Linked DNA regions of Lonchura striata. The protein of the gene in region 1 interacts with the protein of each later gene in a biochemical or structural test. Links are inferred from orthologs where the notes say so. Each region holds a gene or a part of one and is shown on either strand. Other genes may lie near its edges. The genes, in order: NR2F1, BCL11A and BCL11B.

Region 1 (3,742 bases):
CTCACAGAAGAACACCGAAACGGCAAGAAAGAGAAGAGGATTTATTTACCGACCTACTTTGGATCTCTCTTTTTCCTGCAAGTGTCGTTATTATTCCCGTTCTCTATTTTTACACTTCGCCGTGAATTCGTCTCCTCTGCGAATTTAGTCACATCCGATTTTTTTTCTGCGATTTAAAAAAAAAAAAAAAAAAAAAAAAAAAAAAAAAAAAAAGGCGAGAGAGAGCGCGAGCGAGCGAGAGAGACAGAGAGCGAGAGAGAGCAGCTCGGGAGAGAAAGAGCAGCGACCGGCAACCTCCTCCTCCTCCTTCCCTGCCGCCGCGACAGGAGATCAAACTGCCTCAGCTCCCTGCCCGCCTCCGCCGAGCTCCCCGGCTCCACCGCCCTGAATGGCTGACGGCGCACTGCCCTGGACCTGGCCCCCGGACACCTCCATACTCTGATCGCCGACGAGCGGCTCCTCTCTCGACCTCCCGCCTCCCCGAGAGCCCACACCGGCACCGGCGGCAGCGACAGCGGCAGCAGCCTCCGCGGGAGCGGCGGCGGCCGAGCCCCGGCGGCGACGAGCGGCGAGCGGCGACCTCCTCCTCCTCCTCTTCCTTCCCCTCCTCCTCCTCCACCTCCTCCTCCTTTTCCTCCTCCTCCTCCTCGGCGGCGCCGCGGCTTCCTCTATGCCTGCACATCCTCCGCGCTCGTAGCGCCCGGACCGCGTGTGCCTGTGCCCGTGCGTGTGTGCGTGTGCGCGAGTGGGGAGCCGTGTGCCGGGCATCTGCGCGCGTGTCTGCCTGCGTGTGCGTGTCCGGCGTGTTACTCTCCTGAATGCCTCTCCCGACAGCCTTGTTTGCCGTTTCTGATTTTGCAACTTGAAGTGGCGGCGGGGGGGGGGGGGGGGGGGGGGAGGGCGAGGAGAGGCAGTGAGAGCCGGGGAGAGCGGGAGCAGAGGGGAGAAGCGGTCAGGCGGGGGTATTTTAAAGAGGGGGGAGCGCTGGAAAGGGCAGGGAAGGAAAGGAAAGGAAAAGGAAGGGAGGAAAAGGAAAGGAAAGGGGGGGGGAAGAGAGAAAGAGAAAATCCTCCGTCGCCCCCTCCCCCTCTCTAAAAAAAAAATTAGCAAGAGCGCGAGCGAGAGGAGGGGGGCTCTCGGCGGCGAAAAATAAATAAAATAAAGAAAACGGCAGGAGCGGCTCCAGCCGGCAGCAGCGGCGGCGGCAGCAGGGCAGCGGCGGAGGCAGCAGAGGCGGAGGCAGGCGGCAGCAAGGGTCCCCTCGCTCTCCGCTCGCCCCCGGCGCCCGGGCGGCCGCCACCCCCCCGCCCCCCGCCTCACTCCCCGGCAGCCCGCAGCGAGACGCGCCGCTCCCCAGCACTTTTTTGGGCCCGAGATATGGCAATGGTAGTTAGCAGCTGGCGAGATCCGCAGGAAGACGTGGCCGGGGGCACTCCGAGCGGCCCCAACCCGGCCGCGACGCAGCCGGCCCGGGAGCAGCAGCCCCAGCAGCAGGGGAGTTCGGCCACCCCACACACCCCGCAGACCCCCAGCCAGCCGGGACCCCCCTCCACGCCGGGCACGGCCGGAGACAAGGGAGCGGGCCAGCAGGGCTCGGGGCAGAGCCAGCAGCACATCGAATGCGTGGTGTGCGGAGACAAGTCCAGCGGCAAGCACTACGGCCAGTTCACCTGCGAGGGCTGCAAAAGTTTCTTCAAGAGGAGCGTCCGCAGGAACTTAACTTACACATGCCGCGCCAACAGGAACTGTCCCATCGACCAGCACCACCGCAACCAGTGCCAGTACTGCCGCCTCAAGAAGTGCCTCAAAGTGGGCATGAGGCGGGAAGGTGAATATTTCTTCACTACTATGCTATCGCTCCCCTCTCCCCTTGGCTGTGCAGGCGTGCGTGTGCGAGGGCTCTCCGTCTGTCTGTGTCTGCCTGTCCGTACGCGCACACACGCGCACCTATATGCATATACATATAGCTATACACACACGCGCGCGCGCACACGCGCGGCGTGCAAACACACACACATATAAATATAAATATGTAAAAATAAATACACACACACATATATATATATGTGCATATATATATATATATATATATATATATATATTTACAGCTCTCCGTAGCAATCCAGCCAGGACTCTCTATATATTTCCATGCACATGTCAATCTCTTCCTCTGCCTGCACTCCATCTGGCAGCTTTGCACCAGGTTCTGTTGTTATTGTCGATGGTGGTTGGTGGTGTTTTCTTTTGCTTTTCGGTGTGTGCCTCCTGCCCTCCCTCCCGCTCCTCCCCACCCCCTTCTACAGCACTGCCACACTCTCCCCTTTCCTGATAATTGTGCAGAGAATTTATTATTATTATTATTATTACTACTATTATTACAATCGCTTGCTAAATATTTATCATTTAGCCGCTATCCCCACTTCCCCCTGCTCGCGCGTGTATGCGTGTGTGCGTGTGCGTGTTTTAGATGTGGTTTTGTCTATTGTTGGCATGAGACCGGAGGGTGGGGGGAGATACATCTTTCTCCCGTACGAGATGTGACTCCATTCAGCTTCCTTCCCCCTCACCCCCTCCCCACCCCCTTTCCACCCCATCATTTCTTTTTAAACCTGCAATACCTCTCGGTATTTGAGATTCATCTCTCAGGCTCATTTTACCCGAAAGAAAGATGAAAGACTTGTAATTAAAGAAAGAGGAAAGGGTGTGAAAAAGATAGAAGGGAGAAAAGGGAAAAAAAAAAAAAAAAAGAAAAGGGGAGGAAATGTGCTACTCTGTCTTCGCTTCCATGTGCTTCCCGGTGCCCAGGAGTGTGCTTCTGTGAGAGATTTGGCCTTGTTTTCATTCCATGCATTCAAAGGAAAGTTTGTGACTGAACCGTGTTTCTGTACTTCTGTCATTTTTTTTTTTTTTTAAGTGCGCTGCTCATTTTATTTCTGCATCAAACTCCACCCTCTCCTTAAAGTCTTCATACAAATCTCGATTTATAACCTCTTTACCGGTTCTTCTCATTTTAGCAGCATCCGCAGCCTGCATCTGGCACGGGGTCCCCACTATTTCCAAGCGCTCTGCTGATTTTTTTTCTCCTTCTTTCCAAAAGTTGTCTGTGGTTTTCCTTGCGTTCAGACTCATCCTCGTGTAGGGAGAATTGCTGCCCTCCTTTCTCCTTGAAACATGTTCTCTCGGTTTAAAGTTTACCCTGTGACTGTCGTTAAAGATGTTCTAAAGATGTCACGTCAGCAAAATAGGTGATTTTGCAGAGCAGGGATTTTAAAACTGTATTTTATATGCCACGGAAAAAGAATTTGAATTAGGCTGCTCCAGATCTGAAAGAGCTCACAAATATGATGGCTTCATTGGTAGTTGCAGGGGCTGTTGGTAGGCACCTAGGAGAGTGGAGGCAAGCAAATTTTTTTTTAAAGGAAGGAGAAAAAATTAAAAAAAAAAGTGAGAATTATGCATGCAGTTAAATGAAAAATATCTGCCAAGTTTACAAGTAGATTGAAGAGGGAGAGGTAGGCTGAAGGGCAGCAGGACAGAGATCTGGCCCGGGTGGGAGGAGGGCTCGTCGGGGAAGAAAAGAGAAAGTTGAGAAAAATGTGGCGCGCCGGAAACATGAGTGATTGCATGTGCGGGTGTGTGCCTGCAAACGTGTGCGGTTGTGCGGGGTGTCTGTGTGTGCAGGGTACAAGCCTGAGTAGCCGTATCTTCCCCTGAAGTTACATTTGTTTACATGGCAAGCGGT
Region 2 (3,742 bases), on another chromosome or scaffold:
GTCTTAATCGCTAGGGCTTTCTTCTAAACTTACAGACCAACAGGAGAGGAGGCACAACGTGCGTCTCATGCTCCTCGGGAAGCCGGCAGAGGAGCGGGGTGTTTCTGAGGGATTGCCGGGCATGGCGTTTTTCTCCCTAAGCCGATCCTTGCGTTCGGACCGAGGGAATAAATTATTTCAGGTCTAATTCCACCGGTAGCTCGCTGCTCGCCGCAGACAAAGGTATTTTGCAAATCTAACTTCGATCTCACCGACTCTTCGCAGCAAAACGACACAAAACCACCCGTGCTCCCCTTGCAACTGGCTTAGTGAGGAGCTCTGCATAATCATTACTCAATTATAATGTTTTCCTGATTCCTTTCTGACGCTGTCATTATTATTTAGCAGGGGAAGGTAACCCGCTGCTTCGACACCAGACAGTTAAAAGTGGCACTGAGCGAAAAAAGACTTTGCTAAAAGTCTGTACGGACTGGGCTGATTTACAATCAAAACCAGGAAATGAAGTGGTAATTCAGAGGTTGCTGATTACACCTCCACATTTCACCTAATTAATTTTATAGGAGGCAAAGTTCTTGAAAATAACAAGATGATCAAATGTACAGATATAAAACCTGTAACCTCAACATTTTCTATGCTCTTAACGTAAATTATTGCTAATTAACAAGAATTATATACCAAAGTATGAAATACGGCTGGCACTGTGTTCGCTGCAAAACATTTGGCTCCCGATGGAGGCAGAGCCAGAAAAAAAAATGCTTTTTATTATTACTGCTACTTTTAGAACATAATATAAAATACCGGGATTACGAAAAAAACACCAGATTTCACCTGGTTTTGCCTCCGATTTGCAGGATGCATCTTTTAATTCTGGGGCAATCAAAATTCTCTGGCTGGGTCCCTAATCATCCGTCTCTATTTTTCATGCAAATTGCCCTTCCACCAACATGTCTTTTCAGCTTTCCCCCTTCGCCCTCCTACTCCCCCCTTTTTTTCCCTGTTCCCAGCCACCAGAACAACCGCACCGGCAAAAGAGGGATGGATTTTGGAGTGCCGGGAGAAAGGAGGTACTGGGGGTGATGGGGCGGGGAGGGGGGTGCCACAGTACGGTGAGGAGAAATGCCCGCGGGGCAATGCAGATGCGCTGCTGGGGCATTTTCCTGCACCGTACCGTGGGAAGGATGGAGAAGGGCTGTTTAATCCCAAGTTTGTGTCTTCGGATCACAGCGGTGCGAGGAAAGGGAGACTTGGGGGCACAATAGGAACCGCCAACACGTTATGGGGAGGGAGGGGAAACCCGGGGAGGGGGAAGGCGAGCATCCCCGCTACATCCCGGAGCAAGCAAACTCCGCGCAAATTAAGAACAAAGAAGAGGGAAGAGGGGCGTGGGGGGGTGGGGGGGTGGATGGGAGGGAGCTGGGCGCCCTCCCCCTCCCGCCGGCCGGGAGGCAGCGGAGGAGCCGGCCAGGTTCAAGTTCGCGGGGCTGCCCGGTTGTTTGATCTCGCTGTGCCTCCTAGCGACCGAAGCGGGCACGGATCCCGCCCGCCGCCTCCGCCCCGGCCCCAGCCCCGGCCCCGGCCCCGCCGCCGCATCCCTGGCGCGCCGCTCCCTCGGCCCGGCCTCCCTTTCCCCCCCCCAGCTCCCGGCCCACCCACACCCCCCTCCCCATCGCCGGGGCGGCTCTCGCCGGAGGAACCCCCCGGGCCTGTCCCGGCCGCCGCTCCTGGCCCGCACGTGCGCGCACTCCGCGCCGGCCCGCGGGTCTGTCGGCGGCGAGAACCGGCCGCGGGATCCCGCCCGTCGCCGCTGCCCCGGGGGCCGAGCCTGAGCCCCCCACCCCCTCCTCCAGTCCCGCCGCGATCCCCGTTCCCCGCATCCCACTTCCACGACTGCCCGGGAAAAGCACCCCCGTACCCCATTTCCGGGGGCGGGGGGGGAGGCATGCCCATATGCCAGCGATGCTGCGCCCCATCCCTAGCCCGGCAATGAAAAAAAAAAAAAAAAAAAAAAAAAGAGGCGGAAAAAAAAGGCTTTCCGAAAAGTATGAGGAGAAAGAGACGGCGGGGGGAGGGGCTGAGCCCCCGACACCCCCCGGGTTCTTAGGGCAGACTTTGGGCACTCAGAGCCCCCGGGCGGCCCTGCTCGCGGCGGAGCGGACGCCTGCAAAGAGCCAGCGCTGCTTCCTTCCCTCCATGTGCGAACCTGACTGCAATGTTTGGGCGGCCGTGGGGGAAGAGAACCCGCGGCGGAAAGTTTGGGGGGCTTTGCGAAGGGCCGAGGGAGCCGGGGATGGTTGGCAGGAAGAAATGGCCCTGGGTCTTCTGCCATCCCTGGGAGGGAACAAAACCCGTCGGGACTAATGGGAGAGGGAGAAAGGAAGAAATAAAGAAAAGGGGAGGAAAGGAGTGAGGAAAAACATGCAGCATTTCCCCTTCCCCCAGGTTCACCCCGAGGAAAAGGGGATATTTTTTTTTCGCCCTTCCTTCCCACCCCCCTCGCCCCAAACCTTTCCAGCTCGAGTTGCCTTTTGTTGTGAAAAGAGCGCTCCCGCTTATCTTGCATCTAGCCCTGGTGTGTGTGGCGGCGGCTGGAGGGAGGGACGGAGGGAGCCGGAGAGTTTTTGTTGCGAACGGTGTGGTGGGGCTCGGGGTTTGTTTTTTCACTCCCGGGGAGAGCGCATTTGGTTTGGGGTTGAAATGCGGCGGCGAGAAAGGGCCGTTCGCGGGTGTGAGGGTGCGAGTGTGTGTGTGTGCGTGTGAGCGCGCGTGTGTGCTCAGCCCGGGCTCGCTCTCGCCTGTGTTTGTTGGCAGGAGGCTCCCCGCACACGCGGTGCTTGTAAACATTCAGACACGAGATTTTTCCCAATCAAAATCCACTTCCACTTTTTTTTTTTTTTTTTTTTTGAAAATCTTCCAAAAAATAGTAAGCGAGAGGGAGAACGCGAGGCGAGGGCGAGGAGGGAATCCCAGCCGGCGCGGCGCGGCTCGGCTCGGCTCCCTCGCCGCCCGGTGCCGTCCCCCGCCCCAGCCCCAGCCGGAGCGGCGGCGGGGCGGGCGCGGGGCGAGGTCGGGGCGACGGAGCCCCGCACGGCGCCGGCCCGAGGCGGCGGGGAGCGGCGGGACGGCCACCCCGCACCCCGCGGCGGAAACAAAAGGGAGGCGTCCCCGCTTGGCTCGGCTTTGCCTCCCCCCCCGCCAGGAGGGAGCCGCGGGGCGAGGGGGCGACCCCGCCGGCAGTCGGGGGGGCTCCGGCCGCCGGACTTTCTCCGCGCTCCGCTCGCCGCCCATCCCGCCCGCCCGGCCACCGCCGTGTCCGGCGTCCAGCCCGCCGCTCCCGCAGGAATTTCTTCCCACTTTCGGCCGGTTGTGCCCCCGGCAGCCCCGCACCTCGTCCGCGCCTTTCCTGGTGCCGGGCGAGAGCTGCCGCTCTTGCCGCCAAAGAGCGCGGAGAGCGGGAGACGAGAGGAGAGCGTGGAGCGGGGCAGCGGAGTGCGCGCCGGCGGGCGAGGGGCACGGGCAGAAAAAGAAGAAAAGTCATCAAGGTGATTAAATTAGAGAGGCAGAAATTGCCCGGAATGCTGAGAATCCCGAGCCGGCGCTGAGTTAATTTTTTCCCCGACTCGCTCAATGGCTCTCACTTTTAATTTTTTTTCCCTACTCTCTCTCTCGAATTAAAAATTAAATCAGTGTAGGGTAAATTAAATAAATTGCTCTCCGGGTTACTTACGTGAAAATTCCCGTTTGC
Region 3 (3,742 bases), on another chromosome or scaffold:
GGTACAGGCTGGTTCTTTGGTTTTCTGCTCCATCTGCCTCCGAGCCCTCAGGCCTCCCCTCTACCCCGTTCCTCTCGCCCTGGCCAGACCTGGTGCTGAAAAGCTATTTGCACCGAACTGTTTACTTATCGGGGGAGGAGGGAGAGAGAAAACAATTTCTGGAGATGGACCGGGAGAACGGAGGTAGAGGGGAAAAAGTTGGCTTCCAAGAATCTTCCAAGTTAGAAATGCACGCAGTTGTGGGCATTTACCTGCGTGTGAAATAGGAGGACAAGTGCACTGGGATGCAGCTTCTGGGAGCTCGGCGTCTCTCCGTTCGTGGCTGAGACTTAATTTCTCCAAGGAAAAATAGTCTCTGCCAGGATTTTAAGGGAAGGGGGGTTGGGGGGTGGGAGAAGGTCGGAGCGTGTGTGCGTGTGCGGATCGAGTGTGCGCGCGTGTCCCGCTACCATCGCACTTCGGGTAGGGAGAGAGGAGGGGGAAAAATCCCTTTCCCCAGCCCACACAGATATTTGTGTTGTTGTAAAACTGTTTGAAAGAAATGCAGGGGGAACGCGCTCGCCGCCGAGGAGCTGCGGCGGTGCCTGGAGGGAAGGAAGAACAGCCTGCGACCCCTGGGGAGCCTCCGCTCCTGGGCAGGGACGGAGGGAGCAGGACCCAGCGCCGAGCCCGGGCGGCGGAGAGCGGCGGCCGCGATGAGCGGCGGCGAGGCGGCGGCACGGGCGGGCAGCGCCGCCGCCGCCCCCCGCGGACCCCGGCACCCTCCCCCGGCCGAGCCGCCCCCGCCGCGGCCGGCGCCGGGCTCAGGAAGTTTGGCCGTGCGTGAGGATGCGGATTTATTCCTTCCCCCCTCTCTTTCCCTGGCCGCCGGCGCTCCGCGCGCTGAAAGCGGCGCTGCACAAAGCCCGGAGCGGCGGCGAGCCCTGCGTGTGCCGTAGTTGGTGTGTGTGCGGTGTGTGTGCGTGTGCGGTGTGTGCGGTGTGTGCGAGTGGCGTTTCTTGTTCTCTTGCAGGGTACAATGTTAAAAAGCCACCGCTAGTCGCCCCCAGTGCTCCTACTCTCTGGGTCTTTTTGTCTCTAGTGCAGATTAAACGTCACGTCCGCACTTGAACTTGAATTTTATCCCATTGTACAGAGGCAGCCCCAGCCATAGAGAGACAGAGCGCTCCCAGAGAACCAGGACTCCGCCATCTTCACATTGCAATATATAATAGTAATAGCCAGCACCAGCCCAGCTGCACTGGGGGCTTCCTTCCTTCCAGTCCCAGTGCCAGGCGAGGGGGGAAGAGTGCAAAGTGGTGCAGGAGCACTGGCAATCCAAAAGCACCAGGGCAAAGCAGTGCCACTTGAACTGGGAAAGAGGAGACACAGTTTCGGCTACCCCTTTTAAAAAAATTCTCTCTGTATATCTACCCAGCAAGGGTCAATCTCTGAGAAACATTTTTTTTTGGCGATTTTTTTTTTTAGTGGGGGCTATCCCAATTCTAGTACTTTTCTTCTTCTTTTTTTTAATACAGTTTTTTAAATTTTTTTTCTTTTTTTTCTTTTTCTTTTTTTTTTTTTTTTTTTTTACCCTCTTGGTGGAAAAGCGAACTTGCCAATTTGCCAAGCACTCTGGAAAGAGGGAAAGAGAAAAGTGTCACTGGCGGTGCACATCCTCCTAAGTTCAAGAAGAGATCTGGAAGTCCAAGTGGCAGAAGCAGTGGAGAAAAGACAGTGTGTGAAAGAGAAAAAGAGCGAGAAAGAGCTTTTCCTGATGATGATGATTTTTAATTGAGAGGGAATCCCAACCAGTGCACCACAGCAGCAACAAAAAGGAGGCGGTTTTTTTTTTTTTCGTTTTTGATTTTTTTGAAAGAAGAACTCGATAAAGAAGAAGAAGAATAAAGAGGGGAAAAAAGGAGGAGGAGGATCGGCCCCCCAGCACATCCCCCCAAACCAGTGCAGCTCTCCAGGCGATGCCAGTGTAAATGCCAGGGCAATGTCCCGTCGCAAGCAGGGAAACCCGCAGCACTTGTCACAAAGAGAGATTATCACACGTAAGTTTGAACTTGGAACCAGAACGAGCCGAAATCGAGAAGCAAAATTAGGGAAGGGGAGGAAGCGGTTGGGGAAGGGGGGGTGTGTGTGTGGGGGAAACTCCAGGAGCAACCAAAGCTGGTAAATGACTTCAGAGAGAGGGAGAGGAGAAGGGAATTAAAGAGGGGAGGGGGGTGTGCGGCGGGGGGGATGGGCTGGGGGTGGAGGGGGGGAGAAGCCCGAAGTTTGCTGTGCGTTTTTGCAGCGGTGCGGAGGTGAGGCGGCCAGGCGGCGTGGAGCGGGGAAGGAGCTGCCGGCGGGCAGAGCGCGGCGTGGGGCGGCGCGGGGCTCTCCCGGGCAGCGGCTGCGTGCGCGGGGGGCGGCGGAGCGGGGCGCGCTGCTCCGCGCCGGGCCGGGCCACCCCGGGCCCCGCCGGGGCTCCGCCGCTCGCCCGCGGCCCCGCTCCTCGCTCCTTGCTCCGGGGGTAACACGGAGCGGTGGGAAAAGTTGGCCGAGAGCCTTGCCTCGGCGTGACAGCCGCGGAGGGTGGGGGAAGGAGGATCAAGGTGGGCAGCAAGGGAGGGAGACGCGGAACGGCCGGGGGGACTTAGCGGGAAGCACATGGAGGCTGTGGGCCGGCGGCGGCGGGGCCGAGCCCCGGCCCCGGAGCGCGGGGCAGGTAGACGGCCAGCTGCGCCCTGCCCGCCCCAGGTGCATCGCCGGCGGGGGAAAAGAACTCTCCGAAGCGCGGGGCAAGGCAGGACCAGCTCGGCTGGGGCTAGAGGCAGGGCAGGGGCTGCCGAGGAGCCGGGTGCGGGCTGGAGTGTCTGTCGGTGGCGGGGGGCGCGAGGAAAGCCGAGGCGGGGACCGGGGATGGAGTGCACGAAATGCGGGTCGGGCAGCGGCACCGGCTCGCCTGCGGGGCAGGAGTGGAGGCAGCACTTTGCTGAAGCTCCCATTGTAAGTGAAAATACACACATATACTCCCTCCCGCCCCCCCTACGCCCTCCCCCCAAAAAAAAAAATAGGGAAGGAAAAAATAGAGGGGGGGGGGGAGGGAAAGAGGCATCCCCCCTCCCCCCAGCATCAGAATCCCCCTCCTCCCCGTTCCCACCCCTAAAGCTCCGGGAGAGGGGCGAGTGCCTGCAGGCAGAGTAGGGGGCAGGTCCCCGAGCGGGCGCCCCACTCCGCTGCTCCGCCGCTCCCGGCCCCCGGGGCCTGTGCAGCGAGGCGGGGGGGAGATGTGGGGGCGCCTCCGGGGGCGTGCGGCCCCCAGCGCTCCCCGCTGCTCCCACGCCTCCGGGGCACGGGGAAGGGGGAGGTCAGGGGGGTCCCCATCTCCCTCCTATAGCATAGGACAAGTTTGGGGGGTGGTAAAAAAAATGCCCGGCACGCCGTGGCCCCGCACCCGACAAGCCCGGTCGGACCCCTGCCCCCCCCCCCGCCCCGCAAAACGAGTCCGCAAGTTGTTGTGCTGCGGGGGGCGGCGGCTCGCACGGAGCCAGCCCGGGGCTGAGCCTGAGCCGCGGCGGATCCGAATATTTATGTTGAGATTTTAAAAAATTTAAATAAATAAATAAAATATTTCCCCGGCTTCTCTCCCCTCCCCTGAAAGCCAAGAATAGGAGCCATCTGCCAGGAGCATTTGGTGCTTGCGAGCTCTTCTCTTTCTTTGTTACCGGTGATAAATTTCTGTTTGTTAGATTTCCTTGGGACTCGAGAT

What was found.
Region 2: the proteins of NR2F1 (region 1) and BCL11A form a complex in vitro, tested with the Homo sapiens proteins (2 studies listed by BioGRID). The link is inferred for Lonchura striata from reciprocal best matches to the Homo sapiens genes NR2F1 and BCL11A.
Region 3: the proteins of NR2F1 (region 1) and BCL11B form a complex in vitro, tested with the Homo sapiens proteins (2 studies listed by BioGRID). The link is inferred for Lonchura striata from reciprocal best matches to the Homo sapiens genes NR2F1 and BCL11B.

The regions. Positions count from the first base shown.
Region 1 is NC_134642.1:68,476,084-68,479,825, forward strand, and holds the start of NR2F1 (COUP transcription factor 1), read left to right. Parts: upstream 1-1,308; 5' UTR 1,309-1,377; coding exon 1,378-1,828; intron 1,829-2,028; exon of another isoform or gene 2,029-3,742. UniProt on the Homo sapiens protein: Coup (chicken ovalbumin upstream promoter) transcription factor binds to the ovalbumin promoter and, in conjunction with another protein (S300-II) stimulates initiation of transcription. Binds to both direct repeats and palindromes of the 5'-AGGTCA-3' motif.
Region 2 is NC_134605.1:25,459,988-25,463,729, reverse strand, and holds the start of BCL11A (BCL11 transcription factor A), read right to left. Parts: upstream 2,876-3,742; 5' UTR 2,842-2,875; coding exon 2,505-2,841; intron 1-2,504. UniProt on the Homo sapiens protein: Transcription factor. Associated with the BAF SWI/SNF chromatin remodeling complex. Binds to the 5'-TGACCA-3' sequence motif in regulatory regions of target genes, including a distal promoter of the HBG1 hemoglobin subunit gamma-1 gene.
Region 3 is NC_134608.1:12,724,446-12,728,187, forward strand, and holds the start of BCL11B (B-cell lymphoma/leukemia 11B), read left to right. Parts: upstream 1-1,541; 5' UTR 1,542-1,981; coding exon 1,982-2,039; intron 2,040-3,742. UniProt on the Homo sapiens protein: Key regulator of both differentiation and survival of T-lymphocytes during thymocyte development in mammals.